Linked DNA regions of Tribolium castaneum. The protein of the gene in region 3 purifies or fractionates together with the protein of the main gene of each other region. This does not show direct contact. Links are inferred from orthologs where the notes say so. Each region holds a gene or a part of one and is shown on either strand. Other genes may lie near its edges. The genes, in order: kel, inc and Cul3.

Evidence for each region.
Region 1: the proteins of Cul3 (region 3) and kel purify together in Drosophila melanogaster (affinity purification with western blotting; 3 studies listed by BioGRID). This does not show direct contact. The link is inferred for Tribolium castaneum from reciprocal best matches to the Drosophila melanogaster genes Cul3 and kel.
Region 2: the proteins of Cul3 (region 3) and inc purify together in Drosophila melanogaster (affinity purification with western blotting; 4 studies listed by BioGRID, with this or other methods). This does not show direct contact. The link is inferred for Tribolium castaneum from reciprocal best matches to the Drosophila melanogaster genes Cul3 and inc.

Annotation. Positions count from the first base shown.
Region 1 is NC_087399.1:9,463,714-9,467,920, reverse strand, and holds the start of kel (ring canal kelch homolog), read right to left. Parts: upstream 2,951-4,207; 5' UTR 2,797-2,950; coding exon 2,750-2,796; intron 2,697-2,749; coding exon 2,550-2,696; intron 2,505-2,549; coding exon 2,103-2,504; intron 2,056-2,102; coding exon 1,959-2,055; intron 1,953-1,958; exon of another isoform or gene 1,801-1,952; intron 1,754-1,800; exon of another isoform or gene 1,492-1,753; intron 1-1,491. Other genes in the region: erlin-1, read left to right, coding at 3,383-3,496, 3,551-3,631. UniProt on the Drosophila melanogaster protein: Component of ring canals that regulates the flow of cytoplasm between cells. May be involved in the regulation of cytoplasm flow from nurse cells to the oocyte during oogenesis. Binds actin.
Region 2 is NC_087399.1:7,251,091-7,254,374, forward strand, and holds inc (BTB/POZ domain-containing protein KCTD5), read right to left. Parts: upstream 2,042-3,284; 5' UTR 2,010-2,041; coding exon 1,824-2,009; intron 1,779-1,823; coding exon 1,521-1,778; intron 1,473-1,520; coding exon 1,281-1,472; 3' UTR 599-1,280; downstream 1-598. Other genes in the region: ragulator complex protein LAMTOR2 homolog, read left to right, coding at 148-215, 265-574.
Region 3 is NC_087398.1:13,267,039-13,271,213, reverse strand, and holds the start of Cul3 (cullin-3), read right to left. Parts: upstream 2,950-4,175; 5' UTR 2,519-2,949; coding exon 2,453-2,518; intron 2,165-2,452; exon of another isoform or gene 2,078-2,164; coding exon of another isoform or gene 2,018-2,077; intron 1,966-2,017; coding exon 1,768-1,965; intron 1-1,767.

The DNA.
Region 1 (4,207 bases), on a different chromosome or scaffold from region 3:
TGAAAAATAACTTCACTTGCTTTATCTAAATATTTATAGTTTTTAAAATATAGAATTTTGGTCGGCGAATAAATTTGATACCAACGAAAATTTTAAACAAATCTGTTCTCTGAGCTTAGTTAACAGAAACAACCACAGAAAATAACTCCTTTCATAAAAAAGAATATAAAAATGTAAAAAAAAAACATTGATGTTTTCCAAAGATACCATCGAATTTTATTTCCACTAATCACCGCCTAAGAGTCATGTAAACTTTAGAAAAAAGAACTTTAATTTTTCTGAGCTCTCCTATCATAAACTATTCGAACAACTATCAAATTCACACTGTAATTAAGTTTTCAGTCGTTTTCACCGGTTATAATGTTTTTTAGTAAGTTACAGCCGAAAGTTCGTTAAAAGCTCTTATTTATTATACAAGATGATAAAGAGATTGTTGAAATAATCTTTATCGTCATGTGTAATACATTATTTTATAGCAGGACTTCAAGTTTAAGAAAAAAAAATATTGTTAATTCGTTAATCCTTTAAATTAGTATTTATTTGAATTGAATACAGTTGAATAAAATAAATTTTAAACATTTTATCTACCATTGCGGTTAGTGTTACTTTATCTCCTTTAAAAAATGCTAAAGAAATAGTTTAACATCTGCTATAGAAAAAAATGAAATGGCCTTCGAAATCGTTTAAAACTGCAAAATTATGACAAATTAAAATTCGAGATATTATTCCAAAGTTTTTTATTCTTGCAATTTCTCGAAATTTCAAACAAGAGAACTTTAATGCTCATAATGTGTGGCAGCACTGACCTACGCCACTGCGATTTAATTTTGCAAGTTGTGGATTTCTGTTTTCGTCACGTTGTTTGTTGAAAAATAGCAAATCTAAGATCAATTAACCTTCGGAAAAACCACCCCAAAGTAATTAATGCTTTATTTGTAATTTTAGTACAGTTTTTCGTTTTTCCAAATTCAAAAAAACAATTTTGTACATAATGTGTGGCAGCACTGTTCTTCGCCACTTCGATTTAATTTTGCAAATTGTGAGTTTGTGTTTTCTTGGTGATATTTGTTGAAAAATGATAGAATTTAGAGTGATGATCATTCAGAAGTCACTCCAAAGATAATTAATTTACTTCATCCCTCATTTAGTAACTCGTAATTAATTAATTCATCACTTTTTTTGCGTGATAGTGGTATTGGTGGCCCAATGGTCACTCAAAATTTCCAAATTTACAGCGCAGATCGTTTATTAAAAACAGCAAAATTATCATAAATCAATGTTCCCAAAATAATTAATTCAGTTAATCCTATAATTACAATAAAAAATAATTTTTCAAAATTCACGGAAAGAAATTTTATAACATGTGTGGCAGCCCTGTTATCTGCCTCCTTGATTTCATTTTGCAAAATGTGCGATTTGTGCTTCTTCTCGATTTTTAAAAGAAACTAGCAAAACTAAGACTATTTTAACATTCAAAAAAACCACCCCAAAGGTAATTAATACTTTATTCGTTATTTTAGTACACTAGAAACTCAATATCTTTAATTTTTTTGCGTGACACTGGTGCTTCCATTCATCCATTGTCACTGAAAATTTCGCCATGTAATCGAAAATCGTTTAAAAATTGCAAAATTATAAATTTCGGCCACCTGTTCCGAAAGTAGTTAATACCATTGTGCATTTAATTGTATTAAAATCTTGCGATTTTTGGAAATTTCCCACAAAGGAATTTTATGCGCCATATGTGGCTGCCCTGTTAACATTTGAATTAAGTTGGCTGGTCTAGTTTTTCCAACAAACTTGTGCAAAGTCCTTAAAATCGCATTTTCCCTTCAGTACAACTCGTGTGGTAATTCCGACACTCTTTGTCTCAGATAGTGAAAAATAAATCACTTATTTGTGTAATTAATCCAAAAAAAGTATTACGTAACCTCACTTGTTCCAGGCGCCCGACTCACCTGTTCTTCCGAAGGTACGGTAAGTCTATCACTGCAAATTAGCTTAGAAACTTGCTGATGCGACAACGTTAGGAACTCTTCACACTCAACAACCTCACTAAAACCAAAAATGAATATTTTATCAAACCTTGCCCTCATACCCACATAAAATGTTGCTCAATGTATGATTCGGCATGAGCCAGCAGCTCCAAACAGCCGTGTAGATCAGCAAACGCCCTAATCCCTAAACAGTTAGTTGGGTGCAACTGCACCTGTAAAAATTCGCAACAAGCATCCCTAACATCAGTCAATTGTAACAAATTCGCGGCTGGTAGCAACACTTGTACGTTATCCTCAGTGACTTGTACTTCGCTGGTGTAAACATATTCGACCAAAATTTGCAAAGCTTGATGGTCCACTTCCTGCAAAACAATCCTGTCTTGTTTGCTCTCCTCAAAGCTTGTAAACATGGCGTAAAAATAGGGAGAGCAAGCGGCTAGGACCATCTTATGAGCGGGTATTTCAACGGTGTCTGCGACCAAAATCACGTCGCACAGCAGTCTTTGTCTGAAACAGCCCCCTAAGTGACGACACTTGACCAATCACCCTTACTTTCTCAGGAGATTCATAGCGTCAAAGGCCCTCTGTGTGTGGTGGTAGTTGCGATAGGGTGGCTTGTCTTTGCCCCCAGACCGCGGCAGTTGTTTCTGGGAGCTTTCATCGAGGGAGTTTTGACTGTCACAGCGCAGCAATAAACAACTGGAATTTCACATTGTTGTGGGAATTTGTAATGCGGAAATTGCTTTGTTTACCTTCCTTGGCGTTCCATAACAATGTCTTGGTCGGGCGCTAAGTCCATTGCTTGAATAGATTTTTTCCTAAATTGAGCTAAATTGTGATTTAACACATCGCTGCACGATTCGAGGAATTATTCGGGGTTTTATTGCAAAATTATGAAATAAAACGCACTTCGATTAATTGGTGTTTCAGTGCGCATGCGCGTTGCGCGACAGCTGATTATCACACCAAATGCGCAAGTGCGTGGTTAAATAATTTATTTATCAGGAAAAAATTTTGAACTTTTTGTTATCTTGTGCCTATTTCTTTAAAATAAAATAGGCCCCAACCACGCGTGACTTTGAACGTAAGAAACTCCAATTCTGCGACAGTGAAGCAAAAAGTGGATGTGGATTCATTTTGTAAAAATTCAATTTTTTGTGAAAAAATTTGATTTTTTGTTATTTATTTTCTAGTGTTCACTCAAGTATGTGTTCAGAATCAATATTGTGTTTGTGCTTGGTGGAGTGTAGTTTTCCCGGTTGTTCTTTCTCAACTTACATAACCTCAAAAATGTCCCAAGTAGAAATTAAAGATTTCCGATAAGTGTTATTAGATGATGTGTTCATATTAATATTTAACCAGTCGATTGCTTTATTTGCATAAAAATGTCACACTTGACTGAACATTTAATAATTGGAACTGTGTTATCAACTCTTTTTATCATTTTTAATTATTCCTTGCATCGGATAGAAGAGGGACATGTTGGGGTGTATTTTAGGGTATGTATTATATTATTCTATTGATTTGTCAATATTGTTTTTAATATTTTTCAGGGAGGCGCACTTTTGCCTGTAACAAGCTCACCAGGGTATCATATGATGATACCCTTGCTGACAATATACAAATCGGTTCAGGTAAAAGAAAAAACTAGAAGGAGATGCCTAATTATATTTTCGCAAAAAATACCACTTACATAATAACACATACAAAATATACATCGGTAGAAATAAAGACACTACACGTTGAAACATGAAAAATTTGTTTTATCCTTTTCTGCCGATGTACATTTTGGATTTATAAAACTATCAAAAGAAAAGAAACTGTTGTATGCACGATTGCTTTTTCAAACTGAATATGATTTGACACACATTTCACTTCACGAATTATTTTTTGTTGCAAGTGATAGTTGTGATCTATGAATTACAGAACATAATGTTATATGATCATAAAACAAGCAGTGTTAACCATATGTTCACTATTAAAACAATTATATCAGTGCTTTACTAGAGTTCTTAGACAGGGCCGGATTACCCATTAGGCTAACTAGGCTATAAGCCTAAGGGCGCCAGCCAAAATGGGGCGCCACTGAAAACAAATTGAACATTTTTTTAACAAATTAAAAATAAAAATATGAAAAGTTGGGGCGTCTTTTTTACAGACGTGGCCGTTCCCAATGATTTCAATGTGCTTGATAAAAATAAAAATAATAG
Region 2 (3,284 bases), on a different chromosome or scaffold from region 3:
TTAAATACATCTTTGTTGAGAAATAGCGAACAAGATTGCATTACTTTACTCCTGAAAATCATTGTTATTCGTCGTCACGGTTAGACGAAATTTGGGTTGGCAACACACGTCCATGTTTGACATTTCGATTTATTTTTTGTGTTAAAAATGTTAAAACCGAAGGCTTTGACCCAAGTTTTGAGTCAGGCGAACACCGGCGGCGTCGAAAACACCTTGTACGTTTTTTGGCGTCCCCCAGGTGCGCTTTTGTAATTTGATTTTTAGGTTATTGAACCAAGAGGGGGCCCTTTTGGCGTACAGTGGCTACGGTGATAGAGACGCACGGGTGACTGCAGCCATCGCTAGCAATATTTGGAGTGCGTATGAGAAAAACGGTCGCAATGCTTTTAGGGAGGAACACCCGCAAATGGTCCTAATCGAGTGCACTGATGGACGAATTGCCATAACACAAGTTGCCAATTTGTTGCTTTGTTTGTACGCTAAAAACAACGTAGGTTTCGGGATGTTGAAAGAAAAGGCGAATGCTTTGGCCATTTATTTGGAAAATCCACTGAAACAAGTGGCTACGTCTTAGGTTAGGCTTTTTGTTAATAAATGATTTGATTGCACAATTTTATTGATATAAACAAACTTTAATATACAAAACATTACTCTAGAGACAGCCCGTATAAAATAGGATCTATCATACAGACGCTTAGGTTCTTAAAGAAAGGAATAACGATTTGATTTATACAGAAACAGTACCGCCAACTAAGGGAGTTTTTGAGTTAGTGTGTTAAACACCCAAAAGTAAAGTGTATTGCTTGAAAACGTTTAGTGATTTAGTTTTTGTCATGATTTGAAGCAAGATAAAAACAAATGGTTACAGTACATTTTGTGCGTTTACGTAAATACGACACACTTTTAAATGGAAAAAACTACACAAAATATACTATAATTAAACCTCCAATTTCTTGCCGCGTTTCGTAAAGTTCGCCTCTTGGAAAAACTGGTTTTTGAAGGCACCTGACCTAAAATACGCCAAAAGGAAAGTCTGGCGGACGTATACCACACAATTCGACTCGAGTTAGACCCTGCCTTAAAGACGAGCGACATTTAATGTCAAATGGCTCGAGTATTTTTGTAAATCAATCAAGTTACCACGAAAATGGCGTCCTAACCTCAATAAATGAATAAAAAGCAAAAATCTTGAGTAGCGGCAGCATTGACACGAAAAAATCCTAGAAATGTCTGGGGGCTGCGCCCCCCGATATTGTTTCAGTCCGTGTATTTAAAACTAATTACATTCGGGAGCCTTTCTGTTGCAACACTTTCGCTTTGTCGCTGTGCTCCACCTCGATGCCTTCGCGAGCCCCATACTCGCGGCTCACGACGCACAAAAACTCGGCGTGCTCGTCAGCCCCGTAATTGTACTGCGAGCCGATGTTCACTAGTTGCTCGAACTTCCAGCCGTCGGACATCGTGGAAACCATCTGGAAAACACAAAGTGTGACGTTTGTAGGTTAGGCGGCAGTGGGCACCTGAGTGAGCTCGTCCTCATGGCACTGCAGCACTCGGTAGACGTGCTTTTTGCTGTCTTTGCTCGGTCGATTGTCGCGGTGGCATATCCGTTCTTTGACTAAAGTGATCAGTTCTGCGACGTTGTAGAATTCGGCCTCTTCTAGGATGCCCTCCTCGGCGAGACCTTTGTTTATCACTAGTTTGCCGTGGCGGAGGTAATTTAAAACGGGGGAGAAGTAGTTGGGGTCGCGGTCTATTAGGTAAGCGCCGGTGTCGTCCTGAAGCCACAAGTTTAGAGCCAGGGGACTGATTAAGACACTCACCTTATCTGAAATTAGATCGCTATCTTCTTGGACTAGTCTGAATAAAAACGAATTTGGATCGCGGGCTAACGTCGTCTTAGTCGTTAAAAAATACGTCCCGCCTACGTTCAGTTTCACCCATTGCTTATTTCCGTTTTTAAAAAATGTTTGTTTATTGTCCACTGAATTCACACCATCCTCCGCCATGTTTACTTTACCTACCAACGCGACGGAAACGAAAACACCAAATCGGAACTAACAAGCCCCCATTGAGACAAATTAGTAGAGTATAAAATGTTACATCTTGACCAGGACATTTTTCTTCTAAAAAAACAAGGCAGAATATTACAAATTTAGCTTAAAAGGCCTAAAATCTCTTAAGAAGCATTAATCTTCCTTCACTCCAAAACTACCCAAACATCAGTAGACCACGAAAAACAGGGTAGAATGAAACAAATTTAGAGTTTTCCCAAAAGTAAACATCTAAAAATCTTGGAAAATATCTTAGAAAACGCCTCTTCATTTCTTGATCACGACATTTGGCGTCTTCAAAAAACAAGGCAGGACCCTAAAAATTTAGCCGTTTTTCCTAACAGTCAACAACGGAAGAAGCCCTAAAACCCCAAGAATTAACTTTTATGCACCCCAAAAATACCAAATATCTGCAGACCACCAAAAATTGGGCACACGAAAAAACTGTTGAAATCTCCCAAAATAATGCAAAAGCAAAGAGGCAAAAAGGCAAAAAGCAAAAATTTATACGTTTTTCCCAAAAATAATAATTTTTTATGCTTTTAAAAATACTCGAAAATCATATAGATCACCAGAAAATGGTCACATGGGAAAACTGTTGAACATCATCCAAAATCAAACATAATAATTACACTCAAATCACCCAGAAAAGCTTTACAAAATCCGTTATTTTTAAACATTCCAAAATGCCTTTTTTATTTCTGAACTGAAAGTCAATTGCCACATCCAAAAAAATTACCGGTCGGAGTGGCAGCCTGTAAAAATATCAAACATTTACCTCCTGATTGTTACTATTTTACATTGTTTGTGTAAAAGATATTATTACACATAAGTAACGATGTGAACGTATTTATTTTTTTCTTAAATATTATTTGTATTTGTAGCATAACTTATTAAATTTGAGTTTTTTTATTTGGTGATATTAAAAAGCTTACACATTTTTATAATACAATTTAACGCAAAACGTTACAATGAAACGATAATATCGTTAGCGCGATCAGAGTCTTCTGACACCTAATAAACAAGATCTGTTCGAAATATGATACATGATGGACTATGGGGAGAAGACAAACAAACATGGGCATTTGTTCTAAACTATTTAGACACTCAAATGTGTGTTTTCCCAATCGTTCGACATCATATACTTGTAAGATTAAAGGATGAGGTGGACATTGAAGGTGATTCTCATTCATTCATTGCATCATTCAAAGTTCATGATTATTTCATCTA
Region 3 (4,175 bases):
CTAGTTATCATTATCAATCATAAAAAAACGCCTACTTTAATTATCAATTCAAATGATCTCCTGATAGTTACATACTACCACAAAATAATCCAAATTCCACAGAGTTCGATAAATTGGAAATTCATTTTCTAAAACTTTTATTGCCATTTGGAAATAACAATTTTCAATATATTCTCACTGTCTGTTGGTGTTAGTTTTATATTTTTTTTGCCATTTCTTTCAAATTCTCTGTTAAATTTGTCTAATTTGGCGGTTTCTTTCTAAAGTCGTCAGAAAAAGCTCTTTTATTTAATAATAACAATAGAGTTACTGATAATTGTTGAGTACAAAATCCCACTAGAGTTTTGATTTGACTGACTCATGAATGAAATTGAAGCGGACATTTAAAACGTTCATCGGTCGAAATTAAAAAAAAATTTATTCAAAATAATAAACCTTTTATTGATTTTTATGCAAGTATTTGGTTTATTAACAATAAGAGATACAAAAGGTGCAAAAAATTACCTCTTATCTCATTTTCTAACTTCCTCTTCGTTATTTAAGGTATATACCTCACTAAATCAATAAAAATTTTGCAAGATAAAACATTACTGCTTCTTATTTATATCTTATATGGCATTTTGATAAAAAAAATATGTAGTCATCGTGCATAAACCCAATAATCATACTCACACAACAACAAAGTTTAAAATAACAAGGTGAACATTACGATGTTTAAGTTTAAATATTATTAACAATAGTACTTCCATCTTTGAAAGTCGTATTTATGACAAACACTTTTGTATTGTTAAATTAAATAAGAAAACAGTTGATCAAAAAAGTTCACTGGCATCCTTACCTTACATTTCTATAAATATTCCACACTTTTCATATCAGTTAACTCCAGAATCATAATAACGATTCTTTTTGTTCACCTCAAAAAACAATTCAGATATTGCCTTAGGGCAGATAGAAGAGCAGGCTTCGAAGTACTCTGTTTATTAAGTTTGCATCAATGAATAAAACTATCTCTGCTTAGATTCCACAATATTACCAACTTAATTTCAAGTTCACAGACCATGATAATCAGAAATTTAACAATTGAACACCATGATGTGATGAAAAAAGTATTATATGCACTAGTCCAAATATGAAAACAAAATAAAGATTCGGGGCTTTCCCAAAAAGATTTCTTTCATTTTCTCAAAAATTACAAAAATTTAAGATCTTTACTTAAAAATAAAGCTAATTATTTGAGAAATTGTTTTAAGTTATTATTCTTCACCATCATCTACAACATAAATAACAACAAACACTGTAACTTTTAGCCTGCATTTGAAGAAAACACCACTGTATCTTCTGGGGAAGCCCCGAATCTTTTTTTTCTATATTCGGACTACTGACGTGATTCTCTACAATGTTCTGAACTCGGAATTCGCCAATTCCGAGACACCTAGTATATTATTAAAACAATAGTGTTAACTATTTTCACAATTTCTGACCCGATAGTTGGAAGTAAATATCAGTAAATATTTACGAGTCAAAAAATTACAAATCAAACAGTAACTTCCATATTGTATTGTTGCTAATTAAGAGAATAGAAGTTACCGTAACCACTTAAAAGAATTTAGTCTGTTAAAAATAACCTGCAATCGAATACTCTTGGGCATTTGCTGTGTTTAAATTAGTCATCAAAGATAAACACTGCAGGGAGACTATTTAATAAACAATGCAATTAACCCAGTAACGAAAATTCGTTTTTTTATTTCATAATTGAATACATCTTACCTTTGATTCTAAATGATGAGTAACAACCTCCTTGAGCCCAGTGTATAATTTCTCCCCATGTTTATGGAGAACCATAGTGTACGCATTTCTGTACAACTCTTCAAAACTTAATCCTGAATTGTTTTTCTTTTGAATTTCTTGAATGGCGTTTTTCAAAAGGGCCCATATGCTCTCCACATACTTCTCATCCATAGTCATCTGCAAAACAAGTCAAATTAAGGAACGATTCGCTCGTCAACATCCCAAATACAGATTTAAAAGTGATGTCTCCGGGTGGATCATTCTGGCTGCAAAACTGTCCGTTTTTCATGTCTGGTATTTACAACACATAAATTTGGCAAATTTTAAAAATGGTCGTGAAAGAAAACTGACATTTATGACAATTTGTGGCTTCAAATTTGATTTTTTTGTTTAAGTGGAGAAAAATAACAAAGATGCTTGTCCCAAGTGAGGGACTGGGGCAATAATGGGGGTAAAATCGTCGTTTTGGGGTTGTTTGTGATCATGGCACCAGTGTGATTTTCAAGGGGCTTGTTTTTATGCAAATCAGCGGGTTTTGTGACGATCGGTGTTATTTTGGTGTGATTTTCGACGGTCATTGATGATAATTATCGCGCAAAGCGTATCGGTTTGACATTTCTAGAGGACAATGCACTTGATCGTTGGATAATTTTTGGGCACTTACTGGAAAGGCACGGATCCTCATTTTGCCTTCCTTTTTGCTGAGAGAGGAATTCTTCATCGCTGACATTTTCGCAACTCGTTAAAAACACCACGCACCAAATTCGGTAATTGCACAAATCACTCGTAGCTGGGCTCAAAAAAGGTGGCTTTTTCCGGCGTCGAGTCCCACTTTTCGCAAGAACAACCACTCATCTTTAACAACAACACTAAACAACAATGCCCGTTCCTGTTTTTCCGACTTTTCGAGATGATGTTGGTAAAGGCGATCACACTAGCGAAAGTCAATCACACGAGACGGATTCAACTGGCGGAAAAACTCGCCCTTTTCCACTTTCGATCGTCTTTTCGCATTAAACGCGATTTTTTACGTTTCGATGCACAAACTTCACATCGCCATTGTCAACGTCGAGGAAAACGAAGAGAAAGTTTCTTGGACTTTTCAGCATTCAGCTGATTCGTTTTTTATTCAGTTCAGAGCCACGCATACCGCCAACATAACAAACAACAAAGTCACTAAAACACACTAGAAACGTCATTGCGGGTCACTTCCAATTAGTTTTTTTATTGTTTAAATTTTTTGAATAAATAATGCGTTTGCAAAATTAGTGATAAATAAACATTTTCGTCTGGAAAATGGTACTAAAGCACATTAAAGAGATTGATCAGTAAACAGCACCGACTGTTTTCTTTCATAAAAAAAATGGGGTAATCGATACCTGATTGATTTTTGATTTATTTAACATATAATTATCGGTGTAATTTGTTGAGAAAAAAATGCAACAAGTATTACAGAAAATTTAATATGTTGTTGGTTTTTTTATTGTTAAAATTTTTTAAATAAATAATGCGTTTGCAGAATTAATGATAATTATGTTTTTATCTTAAAAATGGCACTTAAGCATACAGTGATTAATTATTAATTAATAACACCGACTGTTTTCTTTCATTAAAAAAAATAAAAATTTGAATTGAAGTATTCGATACCTGACTGATTTTTTATTTATTTAAGGTATAATTATCGGTGTAATTTGTTGAAAAAAGAGCAACAGGAATTTTAAAAAATTCAGTTTGTTATTGGTGTTTTTAATTGTTATTTTTTTTTGAATAAATAATGTGTTTGCAAAATTAATGATAATAATTTTTATCTTAAAAATTGTACGGAAGCATACTTGGTTATACTTGAGATTTCAGACCAATGGATTTGAAAAATTAGTTGAATATTCGTATAACGGTTAACACATAACAAACCAAAAAAAAAACAGGCAGATAAAGCAGAAAATTCTTAATAGTATGACGTAAACATAATGCAAGAATTTTATCGTAAGCTATATTTTAAAAAATCTCAAACTTTTACCAATTTGCAGTCTCCCCATATTTTTCAAAACGCTGCAAATACGGTTACAGATGCAAGAAAAATGTTAGGAAGAAAGTTGTAGACAATTAAAATTCTTACAAAAACGTTGGTGAGATATCCCTATCTTTATCCATTTAGACCCTAAAGTGGTTCAAAGACGGACAAGCTACGGTAGTATTGGAAAGTTAATTTATATTTAAACGTTAAACCGTTGAAAATAGAAATATGGTGTCGTGCATTTTTTTTGTAGAAAATTTAATTCACAATAATTTTGTTCCTTTGTTCCTTACATCTTCAACCGTATTCATAGTGATAAGCTGGAATGTAAATTGACAATTCTAATTGATAATTCTTTGCGCATCGTTGCATA